Linked DNA regions of Canis lupus familiaris. Each later gene encodes a partner of the first gene's protein in a complex. Links are inferred from orthologs where the notes say so. Each region holds a gene or a part of one and is shown on either strand. Other genes may lie near its edges.

The links.
Region 2: CAPZB (region 1) and CAPZA3 share a complex: the UniProt entries of both Homo sapiens proteins name them as parts of the WASH complex. The link is inferred for Canis lupus familiaris from reciprocal best matches to the Homo sapiens genes CAPZB and CAPZA3.

Annotation. Positions count from the first base shown.
Region 1 is NC_049223.1:78,731,327-78,737,252, reverse strand, and holds part of CAPZB (F-actin-capping protein subunit beta), read right to left. Parts: exon of another isoform or gene 5,599-5,926; intron 4,904-5,598; exon of another isoform or gene 4,591-4,903; intron 1,418-4,590; coding exon 1,296-1,417; intron 1-1,295. UniProt on the Homo sapiens protein: F-actin-capping proteins bind in a Ca(2+)-independent manner to the fast growing ends of actin filaments (barbed end) thereby blocking the exchange of subunits at these ends.
Region 2 is NC_049248.1:17,793,433-17,799,868, reverse strand, and holds the start of CAPZA3 (F-actin-capping protein subunit alpha-3), read right to left. Parts: upstream 3,920-6,436; 5' UTR 3,748-3,919; coding exon 2,848-3,747; 3' UTR 2,835-2,847; intron 1-2,834. Other genes in the region: PLCZ1 (1-phosphatidylinositol 4,5-bisphosphate phosphodiesterase zeta-1), read left to right, coding at 4,662-4,672, 5,685-5,808. UniProt on the Homo sapiens protein: F-actin-capping proteins bind in a Ca(2+)-independent manner to the fast growing ends of actin filaments (barbed end) thereby blocking the exchange of subunits at these ends.

The sequences.
Region 1 (5,926 bases):
CCCTGCTGCACCTCTGACCTCACCCCCGCTCCGGCCTCCCAGCCAAGCTGGAGCCCCACCGGCTTGGCTCCCACGGGGACCTGACACCCCGACGGTGCGTTACCCGGCTGTCTCATCTCCACGTCTCAGCTCACGTATTACCACTCACAGACGTGCCTTCCCTGACCTTCCGCCCCGCCTCTCCTTCCGACTCACCTTCCCAGGTCCCTATCATTTTGGCATTGCCAGCGACCTGGTGTCCTCACTGGGATGGAAGCCCCACAGAAGAGGGACTTGGACTCGGGGCCAACACGTACAGTGCACGCTTACAGAGAGGTCCCCATGCATTCGCTCAAAGAATGGATCCTCTTATTTCCAGATTGTATGTGAGAAAACAAAAGACCAGACATAACAAGTAATCTGTCAAAACGGCAGTGCTGGTTCGGAGCTGAGGTCGGCTGACTCCACGCATCTCTCCCTACTTCCCCCTCTCAGACCCTGCCCCTGGCCCCCAAAAGAACATTAAGCTGAATCTTTAAGACTCAGCCCAGGTTCAGTGGTCTCTAAATAAACCTAAAGCAGACTGCATTCCTCCACCATTCTCCGAGGCACTGACTACAGCAATCCACCACAGAAATGGTGGCTAGTTTAGGGATTCCTGATCTTTCTTAATAGGAAGAACTCCTAGACACCCTTAAAAACCTAGCTCGGACATCACTTCCTTCAGGAAATTATCCTGGAGCTTCCCCAGCCTCTTCCATGCTACCCTCAAATTCTGAATAAGCTTGGCCCTGGCGGCATGCATCACAGCACACGGCATCCCGCCACTAAGTGCATCCCTGTGCATCCCCCGATCTAGAATAGTGATCGCTCAGGGCAGGGACTAATGACTACCTCATTGTCCAAGCCCTCAGCATGGTGATGGAAGACAAAGAAAGTCGTGTATGTAGTGGACCAAGCTTCATTCCGACGTCCCTGACCCACATAGGCCCTCCTCGTGCTCCAGATCCCCACCTTATGCACACCCTACACCCTGCAAACTTCGCAGGACTTCCTGCCACTACCGTGTGGTAACGACAGCCTTCTCCTGTTAGACTGGAAGCTCTGCCAGGGCAGGGGCCCTTTGTTCCATGCCGAGTCTCCAACGCTTCTACTGGAGGCACTCCACAAACGTCTACTGCTGGACTGGACGGAAGGAAGGATGGGAGGAAGGGAAGTGGGGAGGGAGATAGGGAGGACAGACAGACAGAAGGACGGCCGGACTTCAGTGGTCCCAGGCGACAGGGACTGCGCCTGGCCCCGGCCTGGCAGCTCACCTGTACGAGTCCCCATCTCTGTTGTAGTCACACAAAAGGTAATCCTTTCCCACCACCTTGTCTCTGGCGATTTTCAGGGGCTGGTCAACAGAAGACAGGAGATCTTCACACAGACTGGGGACCTGGCGCGAAGGAAGGAAAAGGCAGAGCCAGGGGTTAAAACAACACGTCGAATCCAGGTTGGCTAATGGCAACCGGAGCCACATCATGGTCAGCACATTTAACATCTGGCCCTTGGTACTCTGCCAGAATCATGGGCCTGTTCTTTTCTTTTCCACATGTGTCTGACACCAACTGTGTCCCTCCATAAAGAAACCTGTTCTTGAATTACAGCGGAGCGTGATTTCCAACACAGCCTTCCTTCCAAATCTGCGTGCAGCTTTAATTACCTGGTCGCCAGGGTGGTCTGGTACGTTTAAGTACGTATGTGCTTGGTATTGGTCTCTGGTGGGCAAAGTACAAGCTCATGTCCTGAGAAGAAGGTAAACATTTGAAATACATAGGAATCCAAAGAACTCTGAGAATAACCCGACCGTGCTCGAGAACTCCCACCGGCTCCCGTGCGGGGTGGAGTTTCCAATACTTTCCAGGCCCCTGGCCAAGCATTACCAGGTTGGCTCGCAGAGTCAACCCTACCTGCTGCAAAGGTGCTTCACACTAGCTTCGCGCAGAGCCGAGCTCCAGCGGGCTTATCTCGGACCCACACGGAGCCGCGTCACTGAGGAGGAGGGCCCCGGGGCCTGGCCAGGCGGGGCGGATTCCCAGCGCAAATCCTGCCCAACCGGACACAGGGCCCCACCAGCAACCAGGCCGCCTCCTCCTAATTCAAACATCCATTTCCACCAAAATATTCCAGGAAGGGATGGCAGCACTTTCAGAAACGGATTCCTTCGGGCTTGAGTCACTTCCACGCTATATTTTCAATGTGCTGACTTATTCGTTTCATGGCCCTGGGTTTACGGAGGCCCCACCATATCGTTTACCAGGATGGTGGCTGCCAACTGCACCAACAGCCCTTCCAAATGGAAAAGTTAAGTCATGTGGCAAAGATACCCAGAAGAGCCGCTCGGCGGGGGGGCAGACCACCGGCTGGAAGACCCCGACCGCCTCCAGGAAGGTGAGGACATGGGGACCGCCCCCTCGGAGACCACCCAGCCTCCGGGGGCTGCTTTCTTTGGGCCCCTCTGCCAGCCCCCCAGGTGCTTCGGAGCAGCTCACACGGCCCTGGCTGCCACAACTGGAAGATGGTCACCTCGTCTCGCATAAACTCTGGCCTCAGTGAAACCATCGGTTTCCTCTACATGGACCACTGCCGGTCCTCTAGCCTGTGAGAGATGTCCACACCACTAACCTCCGGCGCAATCTGCAACGGCCACCCGTGTCCTCCACACCCCCCCCCCCCCCACAGCTATTTCTGTCTTTTGTGATTTTATTTTTTAAGTAATCTCTACACTGAAGATGGGGCTCAAACTTACAACCCTAGATCGAGAGTCACACGTGCTACCGACTGAGCCAGCTAAGGGCCCCAAATGAGGCTATTTTCAAGGTTAGTTTTCGTGATGAGAATATCAAACCCCGGGCAGCCCGGGTGGCTCAGCAGTTTAGCGCCGACTTCAGCCCAGGGCCTGATCCTGGAGACCCGGGATTGAGTCCCATGTCAGGCTTCCGGCATGGAGCCTGCTTCTCCCTCTGCCTGTGTCTCTGCCCCCCTCTCTCTCTCTCTCTGTGTGTGTGTCTCTCATGCATAAATAAATAAAATCTTAAAACACACACACACACACACACACACACATCAAACCCCTAGCACATCCAAGTGTCTGCCAGGTACCAGGGATTAGGCGAGGCCTTTACATATACTTGGCAGACTGCACTTGAGAGCTCACTCTCCTCCTGTAAAGCAGGCAGCTTCATGCCCATTACAGACATCTGTCTGTAAAGACTAGACAGTTGAGGACCAGAGTCCTTAAGCTGCCCAAGGCTTACACAGGAAGCAAGCAGGGGAGGCTGAAATCTCCCCCTCTGACTAACTCTGATTCAACAGACAACTGAGAGCAGGGACAGTGCATGCCAAAGGCACACTGTGGCAGCAAGTAACCCCCTCCCATCCAAGGCGGCAAATAACCTCCCTGCTCAACAACCAACGGCCACAGAGCCTGGAAAGAAGTCCTGGCCAAGGCAAGGAACAGCTTCCATCCAAGGCAGCTGGGATTGGAAAATCGCTTGCTTTCCTGCGGATGGTCCTGAGCACCTATGTGGCAGCTGGTCACCACAAGCCCTTTGCACCACCGTTTGTTCTGTTGAGTGTTGCCTTAGCTTCCCTGTTGGGCCCTGACTTCTGCTTCAAACCCCATTTGAAATGGTTGGGGCCCGATTCATCCTGGACTGTGGCAGAGGCTAAGCAAACAGGCTCTGAAGTGTGACTTCCTGACTCTACCACTTACCACCCTTAGGACCCTGGGCAAGTCATTTTCACTTCTCTATGAAGACCTGATTTCCTTATCTGTAATGTGGGGATAGCAAAACCTATTCACCGTGATTTGGGGTATCACAAAAGACCTGCATTGGGCATTCAGTCCAGTGCCCAACGAGGGGGAGGGCACACACGCTAGCATCGAACACCCACATGCCACCCTCCCTCCTCTGTACTCAGCATTGTCTGCTGTACGTGCTTCTTTGAGGGCAACGTCAAACTGGGTCCCACCTGAATTCACCACACTGCTTCAGGCACTGCATAAAAACAGACCTTTGAGCATCCGGTTCTGATCCCCAGTTCTGCCTGGAGCCAAGCTGTCTCCCCTTCCCCACCGGCCCCCCACATAGGAAAGCTTACAAGATAACGGGATTCAGTATAAAATAGGCTCAGCTGCACCACTGATCAAAAGGTTAATCCACGAATTACAAGTATTTCAGTAATTTCTTGCTAACACGTCTACTGATTTATTTGTTGTCTGTCTCCCCTCCTTAGAATGCAGACTTTGCCAGGGTGGGGACTTCACCTTGTTCAGGCCTGTACTCCCAGCACCTATGGCAGCCGTGCTTGGTGATAGTGAGGGCCGGGTGTATTTGGATGGGAGGGAGGAATTTTACCACATGGAGCCTCCAGAACACCTACTGGCTTTGTTTTGAAGTTAATAAATTGGTGTGCAGTAAGGATCTTTATCAAGAGTTTGCCGTCAAGAACTGAACTCTGATGGACACAAGGACCCGCTTCACTTTGTAGTTCCAACCAGACATTCCCCAAATATGAATCGCGAGGTAGTGGGAAAGCCCTAGACAAAGAGAGCTGGCATTTTAATTAAAGTCCTACATTTTTATTACCATGTGACCCCGAGCAGCACAGCAATGGTGGCCAGACTGGGAACTAAGAGACTGGGTTCTAGCCTTTGCTCTGGTGTTCATGTGTCCAATGCACTGGATAAGCTCTGCTGGAGACCGGCTGCTGCTGGTCTGTAATAAGAACGTCACTGTTGGAGTGCCTGGGTGGCTCAATGGTTGACCGTCTACCTTGGCTCAGGTTGTGATCCCAGGATTCTGGGATTGAGTCCCACATCAGGTGTCTCTCTCTGCTTCTTTCTTGTCTCTCATTTATGAATAAGCAAATTAAAAATCTTAACAAAAACAAAAAACCATCACTGCTGTGGTGAAAATACTTCAGGTAAAGAGAGACTATAATCAAAATGACAAAATTCTTCATGTAGTTAAACATGTTCATCTTTTATTTGGAGACTGCCTTTTGGGGGGCAGGGTATCAAGATGCCCTTAGTTTTATGAAATAATAGGTTTACTTGGTTTTTTATTTAAAAACTGACAACCAGGGCTATCTGGGAGGTTCCGTTGGTTAAGCACCTGCCTTCAGCTCAGGTCATGATCCGAGGGTCCTGGGTTTGAGCCCTGCATTGGGCTCCCTGCCCAATGGGGAGTCTGCTTCTCTCTCTCCCTCTGCCCTTGCTTGTGCTCTCAAATAAATAAAATCTTTAAAAAAATTGACAACCTAATGATCTACTCTTCTTCTGTTTTTCTTTCTCCACCAGCCCCCATCTCGCCTTTAAAAAAAATGTTTCTGGCCTGTGAAATACAACAATGTGGCAGCCACTGGTCTAGAAAATGGGATCCAGCCCTCCCCGCCTGTCCAAATAGATCAGGGTAACTTCCAAGGTCAGTGTAAAGAACCGGAAGGGACTCTACTCCTCCCATTTCGTAACTCATGTTCTTCAAAGCACAAAGCTAAGGCAGCAGTGCAAAGGGTCAATCTGTGGTACCAGCTGTCCCCTAAAGGGCCGCTCTCGTGGCCTGCCCAGCCTACCTTTCCTATCCTGGTCAGGAAGCTTCCCAATCCCAGGAGGTCTGGGCAAAGCTGACTTTCACTCCACTGCTGCCCACAGGCAATTGAACATCAGCCCCCAGGCGACTCACGGATGGGCCTTCTCAGAAGGTTGCTCCAGGGTCTGAGGGGAGATAGATGGCTTATATTCTCTCTGCGAGGGAAGCAGGGGTGTGGGTGAGGGCTCCGGGCTGCAGTGGGCATCAGGAGAGCGCCTGTGTGAGCTTCTGAGCGGTGATATTACCTGGGCTCCCACACCCAGCCACCCCTAAAGATCTGTGAGTGGGCTTTTAAGTCCATGGCCAGGTAC
Region 2 (6,436 bases), on another chromosome or scaffold:
TTACCCTTATTCATTTGTTTATTCATTCATTCATTCATTGAGTGACTACCAAATAACAGTCAGTAATGGGCCAGACCCTTGAGATAGACAAGGTCCCCATTCTTAAGGAGCTTATATTCCAGTTGGGAGGGATGGGGAGGAGAAAACACTGGAATATTAAAAAATGATGCATTGAGTCCTCAGGATCTGAAGCATTTTTTGTCTATGTGTGTATATGCCTGGTCATGTGTGTGTATATATGTATACTGCTAGAGAGTAGGTTTAAGTATAGGGTTTAAGTATAGGTTTTAGTATATTTGTGTGTTTGTGTGTGTGTATACATGTGTGATAAAGGTACAGAGAGGAGTAGTAGTAAATTTTTCTGGCTATGCCAGCTCCACACAAAGAAAATCACTACCAAATAAAATCAGTGTAGGGCAGTTTTTGGTATAATATACCATAAGTTAGTGAACACCTTTTTAATTCATTTATATTCTTTTAAGGTCTGTTGCCTATCAAAGAAAACATTTGATGTGAGCTAGATATTCTCTTATGATGGGATTATAAATTGTTAAATTTTTCTGGAAAGCAACTTGGCAATATGTATTGAAATCATTAATATGTTCATATCTTTTCAATATGCAATTTTAGAGAATTTATCTTAAGGGACATAATCCACAACGTGGCATAGCTTTATGCATAGAAATGTTCACAATGGCCCAATTAATAACATATATAAAATGCTAAAAATTTAAATTATGTATGAATAGAGAAATAGTTGTCTTGTTATGGTGCATGAACAGTATGAATATCATGTAAATAATTAAAATTATGTGCTCAAGGAATTTTAATGACATGGGACTATATTTATGATATAGGACATTATAGAAAAAGAACTGGATAAAATTTTTTATATGTCATAAATTCTTAATATTTAAAACAATTCTGTAAAATTAAATGGGGGGGGGGCGGAGGAAAGGCCAAAATGCTTTATACCGCAAGCATTTTTTATGATTTATACATGTGACTTTTTATATCAAGACATACAAATAAATATTATTTTAAAAACCCCATGTTTCAGGGGGAGCTAAATGCTTCTGTGATTGTTCCATAAACCATTAAGTCCTATTCTGGAATGTTCTGGCAAATCAACACTTACATATATAACCATAATATCAATTTAAATTTTTGCTAAATAATCTGTCAGATAGGTATATTTTAGTACAATGAGAGCAATTGTCTTTGCTACTTTTCTTTAGAAAGGTTTTCCTTAACTTTTATAACAGATGAAGGTATGTCGTTAGTCTGTGCATGGTGAATCCAGTAAAGTAGCAGACATGACCTTCATTTGACAGTAGTTTTATAAGGAATGATTTTAATTAAGTAAATAGAAAGCATAAGATATGTCACTTTATAACTGGACCAATATTTCTTAGAATTTGGTCCTGGGATCCCTTGCAACAGAGTAATCTCTGATAATTGCCTAAAATAGAGATTTCTGAACCTACAAAATCCGAATCTGAAGATGGGTACTGGGAAGTTGTATTTTTAAAGATATGTTCTAGGTAATTCTCCTGAGATTCTCCAAGAACCACCAGTTGAGGTAGAAAGGTTTGAGATTTAGGAATTCCAATATTGTCTGCTCCAATGTTTCTAAGGCAGAATAAGATATTTTCTCAACAGCATGGATCCAAAATACAGAGTATTTTGCCTACCAGTAATCAGAATAAGGGGATGGGGCCTATCTACTGCTCTATCGCAATCTTATTGGAGAGGTTTAGATTTGGAATTTGAGACCAGAGGCAAGTGGTCAGTAACCTTGCTAGGAATAGTGATAAGGTAAGTGAATAGTAGTCTTGGCTAGAAAACAGCAGTCCACCCATTTCAGTTCCTATGGAAGTGTCTTTTGGGTGAAATACTTGCCTAAATCACTGTAGAGTTCACAATTCTTAATGAAACAAGCCTCCATGGAGAGCAGTCCTACTCTAGAGGTTAAAAGCAGAGTCAGACACACTTGTCACTTACTATGTGCCTAGATGAATTAAACAACTTGAAATCTTAGATTTTTTTTCTCACACAAAATGAAGTTACTACTAGTGCCAGCCTAATCATGAAAAATTATGTGCAAATCACTTAGCACAGGGCCTGGCATGAAATAAACACTCATAAATGTTTATAGTGATGATTTCACAAGATCCTGACTATATAAGCTTGAGAGGTCAGGCTTTTTGAGTTGATTTTTCAAAGACCATGTTAGTTATCAGAAAAGCCCAGAGATTTGAATAATTGCAATTCTTGGAGGACAGGGAAAGGTATGATGGCAGTGGATTCAAGTTTACTAATAGTTCTTCATCTGAGGTAGATTTTTGATATCTTTTGGTTTCATGGAAAATCCAACACTAACATCACTTGGTGAAATCCACTATCTCTGGGTTGGGGTAGGACTCAATTGAATTATATGAAGTATCACTTGCAGAGTGACTTTCATCTGCATACCTTCTCCAGGTACAATGAAAGTCAAAGGTCCTTCCTACAAACACACACACACACACACACACACCCCACATACATACCCTAGCCACCTTTATAATACTTCTGAGTGCCACATTCTATCAAGTTGTTTTAGGTTCTAATAAACATCTCTGGCTTTATGATGGTTACTACCATGAAACACATTTAAATCATCCTTTTCTTCCCTTATTGGTTAATATTCCCTGAGTAAAATTATTTGTTACACCTTTCCCTAATTTAAATTTGCATTTGTCATATGATAGGCATCTCCAGTGGCTTTTCAACTTTAGGAAAATCCCAACACCCCTCCCAGAAACACAACTACATCAGGTCAAGACAATTACCAGGAGCAATCCTTTATATTATCCAGTTGCATAACACACTTCTTGAATAAATGACATATCCTAATTTAGGATACATCACCAGATTCAAGTCAGAGAGTATCCTTTGCCAGTCAATAAGAGTGCGGGTCACTGGAAGATCTCTTCGTAGAATTTTTCTCAGGGCTTCGTTCGATAACTCCTGTAATTCTTCTAAGACTGCAGCTTGAAATATATTCTCTTGCTCTTCCACAAGCCTTGCAAAATTTAAAGCCAGTTGAGCTTGGTTAACTACTTCCAAGCTTTCTTTCAGGTCCTTGGAGATTTCAATATGAAGGTTGACAGCCCTGAAGAAATGAGCTTGCACAAAAATTCTTCCTGTTACTTGGGTTAGAAATGGATTTATTTGGAAAATCCACTTAGATTTCCAAAGGCCATTCCAGCAATCTCTTGTTTCATAGCTGTGATCCTCAATGCAGGCTATCAAGAACTCCTTATTTTTCACCGATTTTCTCAGCACGTTGCAATTTCCTGTTGGATAGTGGTCATTCACATACAGTTTTAAGGCGCACAGAACAACATTTCTCAGGTATTCTGTCTCATTCCGAATGATACCGTGACTTTGGATGTCTCTTAGCTGGTTTTGAAGCAGGTCGAATTTGAAAGAAAGTTTGCTTTGATAGTCAAAAAATCGGTAGTCACCCACTACGTTGTGGTGAGATAAGAGTACTGGATTTCCATCGATGCAGAGTGGTACAGAGTATTTTTGGCAGTGTTGGTGGCCTGCACACTCACCTTGATGGTGCATGAGTTTTTCATCACGGATAAGCAGACAGAGATCATCAAAAGCATTTACAAATTCCCCTGGAGGAGCTTGTATTAACAGTCTGCGAATTACTCTTTCTTTCTCTTTCCTACTCAGAACACTAAGTGACATGTTTGGTTGCAGCAGAAGCAAGGCTTCTGAAATTAAGAGTGTTCAAAGGATGAGAAAACATTCCATGAGACACCTTTCCCATCAAGGTGTTAAACATTCAAGCTTAAGATTACTATGTCTAACCATGAAAACAGGCTGTCTGGCAAGCTCTGAGTCTCCTGATGAAGTCATAAAGAAGCTTGCTCTATGAAGCATGGAACTTTCGATGATATCACAATGGGTGCTCAGATCCAAAGAAAAACATGACAGTCACCTGACAGCGTGGTACCCAGCCAACAGCTATACATATTTTGAAGATTTTAAGAACTTAACCTCCTGAACAGCTTTCTTCAAAAGTGGTGTGTCTCTGTGTGCATTATATGTTGCCAGGGATCTATAGAAGCAGCCCAGAGTTTCTAGAAACTGTTTGGCAGCCCTTTCACCGTGGGGAACACAGTGGCATTGATTTATTCTCAGGCCCTCAGGGTAGTTGCCCCAAACCCACTGGAAGCACATTATGTTGAAAAATTTCGGCGGGAGGTGAGTCAACAAAATAGTAAAAATAAAACAAGATATGATGGCAGTTGATAGACAAATTCCAAAGAGCAGAGGATGGTGCATTTATAAACATGGAGGGTTTGAAGATGGGCAAAATGTAACAAGAAGCTAGAGATGTTCAAGGGCAGTGAAGTGCAGGGACCAGCCTTGCGTATGGTTTCTGTGGGATTGAAGTGTGAGCGATCTCCAAAGAACACAGTCACAAACCACTCTGTATTTTCTGCTTTCTCTCTAGAAAAAGGGCAGAGGCAACAGCTGATGAATATAAAGAAATTCCTTTACAACAAAAGGGCAGATTTAACTATATTTGGAACCCATGACAACACGTAATGGGGAGAGACTTCTAAGCAAGGAGAAACGGAGCAGGTCATGAAAACATGGAGAACAAATATCCACTCAGAAGTCCTTTCTCTTCCTCTTTCCTCTTCTTTTTATTGATTTATCCCCTTTGCTTGATTCCCCTCTCATTCTTTTTGAAGAGTTCTGAAGTTAAGCCTCTCTCATTTAAGTATAAACTGCTTCCTTCCATCCATCCTAAGCTTTTCTAAGCTTCCTGTGTTTTTCTTATAAGAACATGAGCTTTGCCATATTAAATCATAGCCATTATATTTAAGGGCTTTTTGTTTTAACGATCTGAATTTGAGTGGGATTTTGAACATTCTTTACCTATACCTTTCATGATTTTATAAACTGTCATATCAATTCTCAACTGTAGTTTTTCAAATTGAAGTGTCCTAATTTTTATAGTTTATCTGTATACAAGAAGTAAGCTCGCTTATTTCAGTTTTCACTTCATACCAAACATACACTCAGCATGGCATTTTTAACCATTTTTGATGGTACTTAAAATGTTGCACTTTTTTTTTGGCATGTGCATAGCTTGACATTTAACTGATGTCATGATGATAATAATTATACCAGACATGGTTATTATTTATTGAACACTTAGTAGCAGAATAGCAGAAACTGGGTATACTAGTATGTTAAGAGCTCATTTAATGCCCCCAACTTCCTAAGTATTAATTTGCCCACTTTTCAGACAAAGGAAGTGAAGCTGAGAGAGGTCAAGAGACAGGGAGATCTGGAAGCCCAGCTGACCCCAGGCCCATTTCTTCAGGAAACAGACTACATTTCCCAAATAACTTGATTTCTCAAATGTTTATTTTTATTCTTTTCCTGGAATTCTTTCATACTTTTAATACGGAATAGTACCTATTTAGTTTTGCTTTAAATATTATTTATCATAGAATTATGTTGTTACTTAAGCACAAGATAGGCTATCCTTTAAGAATAAAATAAAAACGTTAAACTGAAGAGAAATAAAATACTTCTTTAGGCATTTTAAGTACTTCATGATTTTCTGTGAGAATTTCCTTAACTTCTTTTTTTGTGCTTTATACATGGTTTTTGTCAATGATTCGGGATGAATTTAAAGGTGGAAAAATTAACCTAGAAAAAACTCACAGATTACTTGAAAAATTAGATATTCCGTGCAATTATACTCATGTCAAATCTATTTTCAAGGTGAGATGATATCTGCTCCCTGTCTATCCCACCCTAGAAGGACTTAATTCAATATAGGGAGATGTCAATAGCTACTTCTGGATGCTTTCTGCAGAAAATACATATGAAAAAGTAATCTTCTAAGAATTAAAGCAATTAATTATGCTAAATATATTTATAATCAAGAAGGAGAGAATTTAGGTAGGTGATAAAATGAGTTATTGATAAAATTTGAAATAATACCAGATTATCAATTTAACACAATTAGGTGAATATATAGGAATATTCACATAAGATTAGGATTGCTCATATGATTAGATCGAAGTCATAAATGATGAACTGGTAAATGGATTGGATCTTAGAAATTTAAAGAAGGAATAAGTAATCTTGAGAGAAATGGCATTTTTCTCACATCAAAGTAGAAAATCATGCCCTAAGTTCTCTTTGTTTGAAGAAGAACTAGTAGGTAAGGAACCTGGCTCAATTCTCTCACCTGAGGGCAGAGGGAAAGATCATAAATACATGAGAAAAAGTCAAGAGTTCAGCTGATTTTTACACTAGGAAGATGGCAAATTTCTTGGCAAATCAGGCAAGAATTCTGGATTGGTCAATCTAGATAGTTAGGAAGATAGAATTCCTGAATATGATA